Mytilus edulis: one gene and its partner. The protein of the gene in region 1 purifies or fractionates together with the protein of each later gene. This does not show direct contact. Links are inferred from orthologs where the notes say so. Each region holds a gene or a part of one and is shown on either strand. Other genes may lie near its edges.

Evidence for each region.
Region 2: the proteins of SAGA-associated factor 29-like (region 1) and cysteine-rich protein 2-binding protein-like purify together in Drosophila melanogaster (affinity purification with mass spectrometry; 5 studies listed by BioGRID). This does not show direct contact. The link is inferred for Mytilus edulis from reciprocal best matches to the Drosophila melanogaster genes Sgf29 and Atac2.

The regions. Positions count from the first base shown.
Region 1 is NC_092349.1:72,417,184-72,424,714, forward strand, and holds the start of SAGA-associated factor 29-like, read right to left. Parts: upstream 3,232-7,531; 5' UTR 3,089-3,231; intron 1-3,088. Other genes in the region: TLC domain-containing protein 3A-like, read left to right, coding at 3,293-3,423, 5,932-6,018. UniProt on the Drosophila melanogaster protein: Component of both the SAGA and CHAT histone acetyltransferase complexes, which both predominantly acetylate histone H3.
Region 2 is NC_092344.1:116,011,859-116,019,776, reverse strand, and holds the start of cysteine-rich protein 2-binding protein-like, read left to right. Parts: upstream 1-4,756; 5' UTR 4,757-4,929; intron 4,930-5,681; 5' UTR 5,682-5,716; coding exon 5,717-5,816; intron 5,817-6,866; coding exon 6,867-6,981; intron 6,982-7,884; coding exon 7,885-7,918.

The DNA of each region.
Region 1 (7,531 bases):
CTGTCCGAAAAAATATTTCAATGGCAATGCTTATAAAGATGTTTCTTAAAATAATACAAATATGAAAATAAGCTGTTAAAGTGGAGGAATCAGCCTTATAAAATTTCCCTATATTTGTGTCCGCCATATTGGGATGATCGTAACTGCAGTTACGATAATCACGTTGACGCCAGTGATAAATGTTTTAAAAACTTTAACTGCAGATTGTATGTAATGTTAACTGGAAAAAAACTAAGTCCATTTATAAGTAAAATACAGATACACAGGTACAAAGTTTTAACAAAATTTCCTTCTAGATACTAGCTTTTGATCATAAACAAGCTTCTGTCTAAGTTTGGTACAAATCCAAAGTAGAATGAGAAAGTTCATAAAATTTTAAAAACTGTAACCACAAAGTTAATATTTGTGGACGCCGCCTACGAAGACGACACCAACAGAATGTAGGATCGCTATGTCACGCTTTTTCGACAAAAGTCGAAGGCTTGACAAAAATGAAACTTCCAGTTTACGTTTCTAAAATGCGGAACGAAACCTGTGTTTAAAACCAATTACACAATAAGTTAGTTTCCCTTATTTGTCAAAAGCCGTAAGATGTATCTTCTCATAGAAATAGACTTGTCCAAATGTGAACAGGTCGAAGTTCAAGACATCAAGTTAAAGTACTGAATATTAACAAATCATTTGAAATTTTCTTGTTTCATAGATAATAAAAAAATAACGTCCATTTGGATAAAAAACGGGAATGCATGACAACATATTAACCCAATATTCTCATTTTTTCCAGTGGACGAGTTTATTACGTTTTTGACACGTGTGTTGAAACATATTTTCGTACGAAGTGTTTACATTTTTTTCTTTATCAGTTTTCTTGCTTGCTTGAAGATCATTATTCACCAAGTTTTCTGGAACTGATTAAGAACTACATGAATCTGTTTTTTCTTGTTTGTGAAATGACGATTTAATTTCGTCTTTGTCCGTGCACCCCCCTTTTTTACGGGAAATTATTAGACAATGTCATGGGATGTTTATTACAGCTGAGCATTAATATTTCATAGAACTGAACTTTAAGAAATGATAACAAAATAGCATAACAAACATATTATTAGAAAGGTGAAATATATATTTATTTTGCATATCAGTTTTCTGTCTTGAAAGATGTTTTTTTCTTTTTTTTCCCCGACCGACCGACCTGACTTTTTCATGGAGAAAATGCGTAAACCAACAAAATTAAAAACTGTAGCCTAGACTGTCCCTGGTCTATAATAGACCACAGTCGCTTGAATTTTAGTGATATATGTATGAAATTTTTTTTTAAAAATACTGTTAGGCCAACTAAAATTTATTAGTAGATTTTCATCCAAATTTTTGAAAATAATGGGGCGGGTGGGAGGATTTTATTTTTTAAATTTTATTTCATATGAAACCCTTTTGTGACTAGTTCTTCGTATATGCAAGTGTAATAATAAGCTTATATCATGTATACACAAGTATGAGGAATCTTACATAATATTTCAAATCCTTAAATAAATATATCTAACTGCGGCTTTAAAAACTTTTAAACAACAAAAACGTGTGAGAAATACTCTCTTCAGTTAGACTACCTACACAAAATGTATTGGGTTTCTAAACAATAGTTTGTATTACTATAAAATGAAGCAAATGCATTGGTATGCAACACAATTATTATGAGTACAGAATAAAATGAAAGCTCAGAGAGTGTTGAAAATAATAGGGTTGGTACTTTATATGCAAGATGAAAATATAATTATCATGTAGAACATGAACCTAATAATTAAAAAAAAGTTGTTGTTTAATGAGTCTTTTTGGCTGTATTGGGAAATTTGCTGTTTGTCAACATAAAAAGACAGCCATGGGTAAAATCAAAGGGCTTGCATAAATAAAATGCGTATGTTAGTCGACTTTTTAAATTCAATAAACGGTCATAAATCTGACAAATTCGTGCTTGTGTTTCAATATCTATAATTCAGTCATGTTTAGGTATCAATGGTTTCCACGAATCTTGTGCTTTGAGTATCATTTACAGTTTAAATTTCCTGAGACAAAGTCATTGCATAAATAAAAAAGTCCGCAGTTTTCTAATCACAGAAATTTGTGACATACCGCGATTTGCAGTCTTGGAAACAGCGTTTTTCTCGTAACACCAATATTTCATGTCATTCTCGTTATCAATCTTTACTCTCGGAAGATGATGTTGTCATTATAGAGCAGCGGAAAGGTAGACTTAATCATTTTGGTTAGATTTACTCGAGGTACAAAACCGAAATTTGAAACAGGAAGCATTGAATGAAACGAAATTTTAACGGTTACCGGTAACGGGAATGAACAAAATCGGGAAATCGTAAATTTTATAAAATAAAAAAATTCGGGGCAGGGCGATTTCAGAGTGGCGGGCGGGGATGAAAATCTATCAATTAATTTTAATTGGCCTTATATACATATAACAGTATTTTTTTTAATTTTTTTTCATACATATATCACTAAAATTCATATAACAGTATTTTTTTAAAAAAAATTTCATACATATATCACTTAAATTCAAGCGACTGTGAATAAACTAAATACTAAAATAGATGTCTATTTACACAGGGGTTTGTTATAAGTGTGATTTTTTTGGTGTTTGTATGGATAGTAAACCCGGAAAATACACCTTATCGCTATTTGTCCGCCATTACTGGATATCACACAGGTTCCCGAAAAATATGTGACGCCACAAAGGAAAAGTGATTCTTGTTGACGTCAAAAGTTCAAGCGGCCGGGTCAGCCGGGATTAGCAATAAGGTGTATAGACTATACACCTTATCGCTATTTGTCCGCCATTACTGGACATCACACAAGTTCCCGTAAAATTTTGACGTCATAAAAGAAAATATCTGACGCCACAATGGAAAAGAGATTGTTGTATGACGTCAAAGGTTCAAGCGGGACAGATTCTCGGGTCAAGCGGGAATAGCGATAAGGTGTATAGTAACACACCCCTGTGGATCATACTGAAAAAAAAATATAGCTGTTATAAATATTTTTCGTATGTTCATATTTTTTGTGAAATGGCCGAGTAGAATTTTCATACTTATTAGAGCGTATCAAATAACATGTATTTTCTGGTTTCATGCTACATGATTGTAGACATGTGTAGTAAATATTTTGTCAGTGAATTTGCTTTGTTTACGTTTATCAGACCAAGTTACATGATTATTTATTGGTTCGTTTTTTATTACTTCCGTCAATAATTGAAAGGGGGTTGCTGATTGGTCAGATTTATAAGTGTTTAAAGATGGAGGTTGCCGGCCTAACTCTGGCCGGGGGTGCAACGTTCTCATGCACATATCTTTTAATAAGACGTATATTATTGTCAGGTTTCAGTCATAAAATTTCTATCGACATCCTGTGTGACCTGAGTTTAAAGTAAGAATCTTTGAAACAAGCTGTAGTATGAACAGGCATAGAAATACTGGGGGCGAAATCAAATCCGAATTTGGTACCAGGATAAATCGGCATCTGTTCAAATCGGCATCTATTTGAATTAAAGTCAATTCGGCATCAGCAAATATTTGACAAAGAGTACACATTATAGAAATAAGTGTCATTTTTTTTTTTTATAATTTATACAAATTTTGCGATTTGATTTCTCCGTACTTTAATGATTATGTACCCTCAGTCAGGGGTACTACTTGTACAAGTGTATTTTATTTACTTGAAGAAGTAAAAATAAATATACACATATAAGTAAATTTGTACGCTACTTATACAAGTGAATTTTATTTACTTGTATAGGTAAAAAAAAAATTGGCTGAGTTATGTCCCTTAGACATTCAGATTTTTTTACTTGTAGAAGTAAAAAAGTCATCCTATCTTCTTTTATTGAAATCTTTGGATTTCTTTGCTCTAATAGAATTTTAAATTATCTGCTCTTTGCAGAAGTCTTTACTAATCATTTCAGTGCAATTTCATGGACAATGAAAATCCCATTTGTCTGTTATCTTCAGAACACTGCTCATTTACAAGCCCCCAAGGAGCAATTTTTGAAGGCCTTGCGCAAATACTTAAGATCTTTGCGCAATCAGTTTCTTTGTTGAACTAATGAGATGAAACATTGAACTTTAATTAAAAAATTTGAGCAAACCTGGGAAAAATCATTAAAGGCATGATTTTACATCTCAAAACTTGAGGATTTTTGTTGGATTGTAAGAAAAATTTACTTATACAAGTAAATTTTTGAGAAAATGAAGGGGAGATTATTTAAACATTATTTATTTACTTATATATGTATATATTTTTTTACTTCTTCAAGTAAATAAAATACACTTGTACAAGTAGTACCCCTGACTGACCCTTGTGTTGATTCAATGCTAAACATATGGAAATTTTATAGAAAATCCACAGCATTTATCCTTGTAATCTCATATTTGGCAATTTCATAGCTGCGGAACCGTAGCTCTTAGGTCCTTATGTTATTTTTTACTATTTGTGGATGGTCCGCAAATAGTCAAAAAATAACATAAGGACCTAAGAGCTACGGTCCCGCTGCTAGCAATTTCATGATCGATGATATAAGATTATTGCATGCAGTGCTAGCATTGATTTCCTTAAAACGAGTTTATTAATGTAGTTATTGGTTAAAACAAATTAAAATATGGACCAAATCAAGTACACCTTTTAGGGTGCGCTCGACTCTAGTGACTCCACACGAGGTATTTTGGAATTAACAGGTTGCTTAGAATTTTTTGAAATAAATAAACACTAGCACATCATAGAAAAGCAAGTGAGTAATCTATGTTTCAAATTTTATAACAAAAATCTCTGTATTAAAGGCTGTGGGTTTTCTATAAAAATCTTGGTTTATTTGCCACAAAGTATCCACAAAGTATTCTTTTTCTATTAAATGCAATGAAACAATAAATAATAATGCTTTGCATCAAGTTTCCCCTTGGTATATGTACAAAATGGCCTACCTCTATTATTCATTACATCTGTAGTTTTGATACAATTGAAGTTTGAAAAATTTGTACAAATATAACTACAGAAGGGGGTCATAAACCTTAACTTTAGTTTGCCTCAACCAAAATGCTATGAAACTTATACACAATGCTTATGACCACAAAATACAGATCAAATTTGACTTTTGGTGATGTCACTTTCACCATTCTAGAGTTATGCCCCTTTACAATTGGAAAAATTGTTGAAATTTGCGTTTCCATTCTTTCACTTTAGTTTGTCTCTACCAAATGTTATGAAACTTATACACAATGCATATTTCCACAAAACACATATCAAGGTTGAATTTTGGTGGCGTTACTTAAACCATTCTAGAGTTATGCCACTATACAAATGAAAAATCACTGAAATAGTCGTTTCCGTTCTCAAAAATTTAGTTTCCCTAATTAAATGTTATGAAACGTACACACAATGCTTATTATCACAAAATACAGATCAAGTTTGAATTTGGGGTTGTCACTTTTATTGTTCTAAAGTAATGCCCTTTTCAATGTTTCAAATGGAAAATTGCAGAATTTTTCATTTCTTTTCTTCAACTTTAGTTTGCCTCAATTAATGTTATGAAATTCTACACAATGCTTATTACCACAAAATACAGATAAAATTTAAACTTGGTAATATATCACTTTCACCATTCTTGAGTTACGCCCCTTTACAAATAGAAAAACTGCTCAATTCTCGAACTTTCAGAAATTATTGCAATGTTTTTATTATTGCAAAAAATGCAACAGGTTTTTATCATCGAAATAAGTCACATTTTGAATTTTTGTATATGAATCATTGTGAATTAAACAGGAATTTTCTCAATATCGCAATAATTAAAATTGCATAAAATCAGTCTAAAATGACAAAATCGCAATTAATAAATGCACGCAATAATTTCTGAATTTACAAAAACTGATAGTTTTTTCATTACAGAATTGTGTCCAGTCTGCAAGCCATTGCTTCATTTACAATTGGTAATATTATAGCCACAGCATGCCAAGGGAACATAATGACAGATAGGTATTTATAACAAAATGACAGATAGGTATTTATAACATAATGACAGATAGGTATTTATAACATAATGATTTATTATGCCCTATACCATAACATAATGACAGATAGGTATTTATAACAAAATGATTTATTATACCCTATACCATAGATATAGGAAGATGTGGTATGCCAAGGAAACATAATGACAGATAGGTATTTATAACAAAATGATTTATTATGCCCTATACCATAGATATAGGAAGATGTGGTATGCCAAGGAAACATAATGACAGATAGGTATTTATAACAAAATGATTTATTATGCCCTATACCATAGATATAGGAAGATGTGGTATGCCAAGGAAACATAATGACAGATAGGTATTTATAACAAAATGATTTATTATACCCTATACCATAGATATAGGAAGATGTGGTATGCCAAGGAAACATAATGACAGATAGGTATTTATAACAAAATGATTTATTATGCCCTATACCATAGATATAGGAAGATGTGGTATGCCAAGGAAACATAATGACAGATAGGTATTTATAACAAAATGATTTATTATACCCTATACCATAGATATAGGAAGATGTGGTATGCCAAGGAAACATAATGACAGATAGGTATTTATAACGAAATGATTTATTATGCCCTATACCATAGATATAGGAAGATGTGGTATACCAAGGAAACATAATGACAGATAGGTATTTATAACAAAATGATTTATTATGCCTTATACCATAGATATAGGAAGATGTGGTATACCAAGGAAACATAATGACAGATAGGTATTTATAACGAAATGATTTATTATGCCCTATACCATAGATATAGGAAGATGTGGTGTGAGTGCCAATGAGACAACTCTCTATCCAAGTAACAATTTATAAAAGTAAACCATTATTATTATATGTCAAGGTACGGCCTTCAACGCAGAGCCCTGGCTCACACTGAACAGCAAGCTATAAAGGGCCCCAAAAATTACTTATTCTCTAGTGTAAAATCATTGAAACAGGTAAACCAAAATCTAATCTATATAAAAACGAGAACATGTATGACGACAACTACTGTACATCAGATTCATGACTTAGGACAGGTACAAACATTTGCAGCGGGATTAAACGTTTTAAGGGTACCAACCTTCTCCCTTTTCTGAAACAATAGTATAACATCACAACATAGAAACATACTTATGGTACTCCCCCTACAAAAAAATCAAAGAAAAGCAGTATTTTGATAAAATGATGTGATGAGAACTTTTTCAGTCTAGTAATGCTGGATGTTATGTTTTTTGCCTGTACATGTACATATGAATTTGAGATAAACAGAGATGTGGGATATGCTAATAAGACGGCCACCAGACAACACAAATAAACAAAAGATATCTTTGTAACATGTAGGATATGTGCTCAAAATCATCAACAGTAAACAGGATCAAATCTATGTAGTAGGGTAACTAAGCTTTGTACCTTTTACAATTTCCAATAATGGTTGGTTGAAAAGTCAATAGAAGAAAATAAGGAG
Region 2 (7,918 bases), on another chromosome or scaffold:
TGAACTCTACAAAGATTCATGACATAAATTCTGCACACGATGAGTTTCAGACTTTTCACTAACAATAGACGAGCAAATTCCATTAAACAAGAGAAAAACCTTCATATACAACAGAGTTAGGTAATATGCACAGTCCCGGGCCATAAGTATTCGTCACTTGCGATTTTCACTACATATTTCGTATAAAACTGCATTTTTCAAAAAAATATTTTCGGATAATTTCTAGTTTGATATTAAGCAACTGGTACCAATAGAAGCAGAATTGTCATAGGTTTATTTGTTTATTGGGTTATATTTTTTTTTTGTGCGTTATTGTCAATTTCTCACAAATTACATAAATCTGGACAGAAATATGCTATTAATTTCAACCAAATGAAATTGTAAAATGTTATTGTCTGTGTTCACATCAAGAGAAAATAAAAACAACTTCAGACAAAAGAGGGGGGGCAAGGGGTTTAACTGTTATTCTGTTATGGGGTAATTTAATTCTTTGTTATCTGTTATTCTGAAAATATATTAACTGTTAGCTGTTATTGTCTTATTCCTTGTTATCTGTTATAGGACAATTATTTTTATTGTTATCTGTTATTGTGAGATTGTTTTGCTGTTAATTGTTATTGAAAATTGGAATGTTAGCATTTTGACAGCCAATCTTGAGTAGAAATTGAAAAAAATGAACATTGTGATTTGGATGGAAAGTTGTCTCATTGGCACTCATACCACATCTTTTTATTATCACTATTGGGGTCTTTCCATTGGTGATATGGAGGTCACGTATTCGCAGAAGGATTCCAGTAACAAACATCACATAAACATATTTAAAAACAGTGAGGTCCAGGACCATTCCCGTATACATTATTGTTACTCTTTGTAATAAATTCCATTGTCTGTGAACATGTTTTTAGATGTAAAATTTTGTACAAATTATAATTTGTACATAAAATAGGTACAAATTATATTTATTTTTTTACTTTGTACACATTTTTCTAAAAATTATAATTTGTATTTTGACTTTGTACACATTTTTTGTACAAATTATATATATATTTGTGAAAATGACAATTTGTATATGAAATTTGACTAAAATCACTTTCAACAATGTATAACTTTTACAATAACTTATCATATGGATTTTTTTATAAAAAGAAAGCCTTGATACACCGTATATAATTGTAATTCAATGACCAAATAATAAACGTTATGTTGTACTGTTACACCACTGTCCAAGGTTTATAGACACCAACTAACATGTTTAACCCCGCCACTTTCTGTATGTGCATGTCCCAAGTCAGGAGCCTGCAATTCAGTGGTTGTTTTCGTTTATTAGTTTTTAGATAAATCAAGCTGTTAAATTTCTCGTTTTGATTGTTTTTCGTTTGTCTTTTCAATGCCTTTTATATATGACTATGCAGTATTGGTTTGTTGCTCATAGTCGAAGGTGGTATGATGAGCTATAGTTGTTAATTTCTGTGTCTTTTTGTCTCTTTTGGATAGTTGTCTTATTGGCAATCATACCACATCTCCTTTTATACTTATTTACAAAATACAAAAATAGTATAAATGTATCATTTGTTTGAGCATGTGAGTGAAATGTTGCCTTTGGGAATTACACGACATCTTTTTCTTCAGCATTCACACTAGAAGTGCTACTCCTCCTCTTTGTATTTACATGAAAGAGAACCCTGACTATCAATTTTTCGATCGCTTTTTAACTGGTTCACATAATGAAAAGTGAAGCTCAGAAACTGTTGCTGCAAATAAAGATGTGTCTTTAACAGCTTCAAATATTTAATTTCTCGACAAAATATACTTAAAATAAGTGAATATATTTGTCTCTGTTAAGGCCTAGCAATCCATACAACCAGTTATATAATAAGATGTACTGACTGTACTGTATTGGTCCTGGACCGGACTGATTTTAAAATTTCATTTACTGTTATCTGTTATTGTCCCTTTTCAATTCCTTGTTATCTGTTTTACGCCAAATCAATTTACTGTTTTGCTGTTATTGGAACCCCCCTTGCCCCCCCTCACAAAACGATGACTAAATTAACAAATATTGTTTAGACAATTTTCTATCTTTGACTAGGTTTGTCCCCTTATATACCTTAATATAATATAATGTTATATTATGGCATAATGGGAAAAACATTTCTGAGGCAAGTGCCTGTGTGTAGGTAGACGAAATAATTACGATTGACATACTTGGGCAGGCCTGCTATGGATGATTCCGACAACAAAAGTATCACTGTATGCGTATTATACACCATCGTGTTGGAAAAAATATTGATTTTACGGCATAACAAGTTTTAGTGGGGTTGAGAACCGAGAAATCGCCATATAACAGAAATTCGCGACCGGGTGAACATTTTCAAAGAATGCGAGTTAAGTACCTTGTGTTATATTAAGGTATATAGGGGGGGGATATGAGACAAGTGTCTGTGGCTGCTTATAACAATCCAACCAAAATGTCTTCAAAATGTATATTTTTTTTTAATGTGTTTTTATTTGAAATATAGAGCAAAGAAAGTGGCAGGTGACGAACACTTTTGGCCAGGTAACGTAGCTCTAAATCATGCTGTTAACTTGAATAGTTTTACAACGCACTCATACAGATACAGATACAGTGGTGTTCCCTCAGTCTGTTACTAAAAGTAAGTGTTTACCGTCAATATGACCCGGCAATATCAATGTCCTTTTAATCTGCATATAAAACAAGAGGCTCTCAAGAGCCTGAATCGCTCACCTTAATTTATTTTTTTGGTTAAATCTCTCATCAATGATTATTTTGGCTTTTCAATTTATTTAAATGTTCTTTGAATCGTCCTATTTTCTTCAAAAGCAAAAAAAAATCATTTTCTCCTATGTTCTATTTTAGCCATAGGAGCTATGTTTCTGACATACAAGGAAATGAAATATAAAATTTATACTAGATACTCTGAAACTCATTTAGCCTAAGTTTGGCTGAAATTGATACAGCAGTTTCAAAGGAGAAGATTTTTTAAAGTAAGTCAACATGATGAACAAATTGTGAAAAAAGTCTTTAAAGGGCAATAACTCCTTAAGGGGTCAATTGACAATTTTGGTCAAATTGACTTATTTGTAGATCTTACTTTGCTTAACATTTTTGCTATAAACAGTTTATCTGTATCTATAATAATATTCAAGATAATAACCAAAAACTGCAAAATTTCTTTAAAATCATCAATTCAGGGGCATTATACCTGAAAAACCAGTTACCCAATTCGGCTGAAAATTTCAGGACAGGTAGACCTTGACCTAATAAAACTTTAACTTCTTGTCTTATTTGCTCTAAATGCTGGAGTTTTTGAGATATAAGCCAAAAACTGCATTTTACCCTGTGTTCTATTTTTAGCCATGACGGCCATGTTTTTTGACGAAATAAAAAATAAAGCACAAACTTTATTTTGTACACCCTACTGATCATTCAGTTGAAGTTTGGTTGAATTTGGTTCAGTAGTTTTAGAGGAGAAGATTTTTTAAAGTTAGCAAATATGATGAACAAATTGTGAAAAATTGTCATTAAAGGACAATAACCCCTTAAGGGGTCAATTGACAATTTTGGTCATATTAACTTATTTGTAGATCTTACTTTGCTGATCATTTTTGCTGTTTACAGTTTATCTTTATCTATAATAATATTCAAGATAATGACCAAAAACTGCAAAATTTCCTTAAAATTACCAATTAAGTGACAGCAACCCAACAATGGTTTGTTTGATTCATCTGAAAATTTCAGGGCTGATAGATCTTGACCTAATGAACATTTTTACCAATGTCAGATTTGCTCTAAATGCTTTCGTTTTTGAGATATAAGCCAAAAACTGCATTTGACCCCTATGTTCTATTTTAAGTAACGGCGGCCATGTTTTTTGACGGATCAAAAATCGAAGCCCACACTTTGTGCAGGATAATCTAAGGAACAATCATGCTAAGTTTCATCCAAATCCATTCAGTAGTTTCAGAGGAGAAGATGTTTGAAAAATTGTTAACGACGACGACGACGACGACGACGACGACGGACGCCAAGTGATGAGAAAAGCTCACATGGCCTTTTAGGCCAGATGAGCTAAAAAGGTGCTTGAATGATTGAAGGCCTACTTTTATCAAAAAATATTTGACGTAGTATCTATTTAATTGAATGCTCCGTGGAATTGGAATATGAGAAGTTTATTATATAGACTATATATAATAGATTCATATTAATACACCTTATCGCTATTTGTCCGCCATTGCTCACACAGGTTCCCGTAAAATGTTGACGTCATAAAACAAAATATCTGACGCAACAATGGAAAAGTGATTGTTGTTGACGTCAAAAGTTCAAACGGCCGGGTCAGCCGGGATTAGCGATAAGGTGTATGCGGAGTTTGAGGGGTCCTGATCCCGAAATCCCTGGCTTAAAAACTTGAACACGAAATCCCGAGGTCCCGAATTTAAATAAATGAAAAAAACGAATTCCCGAATCCCGAAATCCCGAGCTTAAAAACACCCGATCCCGGAGTCCCGATAAATATCCTATCCCCCTCATAATACCACAGTCGCCTGAAGATTTAATAATTATAGCGAAAAATGGGGGAAATAAAATATTTTTAGTAGTATTAATAAAATATTTTTAGTAGTATTATTATTCTATATAATACTACTAAAAATATTTTATTTCCCCCATTTTTTCGCTATAATTATTAAATCTTCAGGCGACTGTGATAATACACACTCAGGCGTAAAATCGTTCACGTCTACACCGAACTTGTACTTACGTTTAGTATTGGAATTTCCGGTGTTTTGGTTTTGCGGCAAAACAAAATTGTTTGCAATCTGCTTTTCATATACACAGGGAAATGCTTTAGTACCAACTATTTTTAGTGTCAACAAGTATATTGATGATCAAACATTATAAATAATCTTGTATGTATTTTCTTTATTCTGTTTCACCCCCCTTTTTTTGTCTTTTGTCATGCTATTTTTTTCTTTTTGATTGGTTCTTTTGGTTTTGCCATCTTTTGGTAATAATCAATTGGCATACAGGAAAAGTTACATTTTTCAACCTAATTAAAAAATAACAATAGAACTTTTGTGGAAATTAATTATAATTTACACATGTATAGCGATTTATATATAAGAATGTTTCTGGTGGTGATCTAGTCCAAATAATTATGACGTCTGGCAAGGCTATCTGCCCTTTGACTATGTCCAAATAATTATGACGTCTGGCAAAGGCTATCTGCCCTTTGACTATGTCCAAATAATTATGAAGTCTTGGAAGGCTATTTCAAATTTTTGCTTTGACGCCTTCCTGCGATGTAAGGCGTCAAAGAAAAAAATATAATAGCCTTTCAAGATGTCATAATTATTTGGACTACCCTTTGACATGTTTGACGGCTAAAAAAAAAAGATTATTAAATGTTTTCACAATTAATTGTTTTTTGCATAAAATCATCCAAAATTTTGTTTGCCTCCCAACCCAATGAATGTACTAGCGGAATTACACACTTCCTTTCAAAAATTCTGGATGCGCCCCTGGTTTCATTACTTCTTTAACTTCAAGTAGCTTCTTCCTCTTTCGATCAACAATGCATTAACACTAAAGAATTAATACATGTTGTAGCTAAATGTATCTTCCTTATTTCATATTTTTCTGAATAAAATTTTTGTTACAGACATAACCATAGTATGATTGATTAGATAATTAAATATGGAACCTGAGGCAACACATTGTTATTGTAAAGTAAAGGAAATTGATGAAGAGACTCCAAAGTTAACATGTATGAAATGTAGACGACAGTTCCATATAGGTATGATTTATCAGTTTTATAGAGTCAATGACAGTTAAACATGTTAAAAGAATTGAAAAGAAGAGAAAATTCAAAATACAAAGTTTTAATTAAATTTGGAGTTAATGAAGAATTCTAGAAAATGTGGTACAGTAGGGTTTTATTAAATAAGACGGAAAGGGACATTGCCACCAAAATGGCAGATCTAGAGCATCAAGAAAAATCACCTGACTGAGAATTCACCACCAAGAGTTATTTCCAATTAAGTCATCTAGTACGTACTGTATAATAACTAGGAATTTGAGTAATAAAGAGTGTATTCAATTTTATTTATAAATCCTTTATTTGCAGTATCACCATTGAAAGCAAATTTGGCAATCACAAATATAATGTAATACTACATACATGTATGTCACTCAAACATTAACCAAATATTATGTTATTTTTCACTGAACAATCCTAAGTTCTGTAAAAAAAATATGAATTTATAAAAAATGAATTATAGTGAATGAGCAATACCTTTATGGTTTCAAAAATACTTATAAAATTGAGAATGGAAATGGGGAATGTGTCAAAGAGACAACAGTTCAACAAAGAGTAGAAAAGAGCCCAATGCCACAAAATGTCTTCAACGCAGTGAGAAAATCCTAAACCCAGAGGAGGGCAACTCAGTATTTGCTGTCAATACATGTATAGATAGCATGTTGTTTATTTTGGATAATACATGAAATATTTGCAAATACTGTGGATTCATTATTATTCGTGGGATACCATTTTTTGTGGTTTTAGTTGGTACAAGTGAACCACAAATTTAAATGTTCAACGAATCACAAATTTGCTGTTGGGTTGTATACAGACTTTGACAAAACCACGAAATCAGATATCCACGAAAATGCAAAAGTTCCTCAATCCACGAAAATTGGTACCCACGAAAATAAATGAATCCACAGTATACATAAAGCAAATATGTATCAATTAATCTATCTTCTCACAGTCTCATCCATACTTATATTGAACAACCCTGATAGCATATACATGTTCTGTTATTATGTAAACAATATTTTTTATCAGATTGTTTAAAGACGGGAAAGCCATCGTTATTGGCAGGTGATGTATTTTTTCACTTGGTCTGTACTGAATGCAATAACAGTGGAGAAGAAGAAGTAGATAGATTAAAGATGCAATGGTAAATCTTAATAGAATTTTATAGGATTTTAACAGTTCTTCTTTCATTGTCTTTTACATTTCTTAACAATAACTGGATTTGTTTTTTCAAGTTGTGGGCATTAAGTTCAAAGTTTTTAGTTATATTTACCTTTTTATACCCCATAGGAGGGTAGGAGTATGAAATATGGCATTTCAAATACAGTACTGAAAAAAAAGCTGTCTATGCGTGATAATAAAGAATGATTATCAATGAGACAACCATCTATCAAAAGTACCAGGATGTAAACTGCTCTAAAACCTGTAGAAAAGAGGACAAATACATTCAACTTCACACTAAAAACAAAAAGACATCTGATTGCGCTAAATTTACACAACACCACATACAAGCACAACAATAATAACAGGAAAGTCAATGAAAACTATTGATGCAAATCAGGCAATAATAAAATGTCTTTTCCTCTGAAGCTTCAAGTGAATATCTTCCTAAACTTTAAAGGAAGGATCAGAATTCCTTTACAAATATTTTTGATTTTGTGCTAAAACAAATATGCTGACCTTTAGATTCCTATTTAACTCTATGGCAGCATATAGGCGTGCTTCAATTAAAAGGATTTTTAACATTATGTTTAATATAAATGAAGAACCATTTGACTTGATTATTTAGTTCATAGAACCATGCGCTCTATACTTCCTAAGCTTAATTGTGGAAGAAATCCTGAAGTTTTATTATGTATATATGTGAGGAAAACTTAACAAAATGTCCCTTTTGTCTTTCTCTCAATTTTCAGTAACTTGAAATACTTCATTCTAAATTAAGAGACTTAAATATTGGGGCCATAACCCTTACCAATGCCATGGTCATTCATTAATACAATTAACAGATTATGGTTGTATTAATTGATAAACATTTGACTGATTGCAGGTCTCAAGTTGTACTTCTGGCCTTATATAACTTA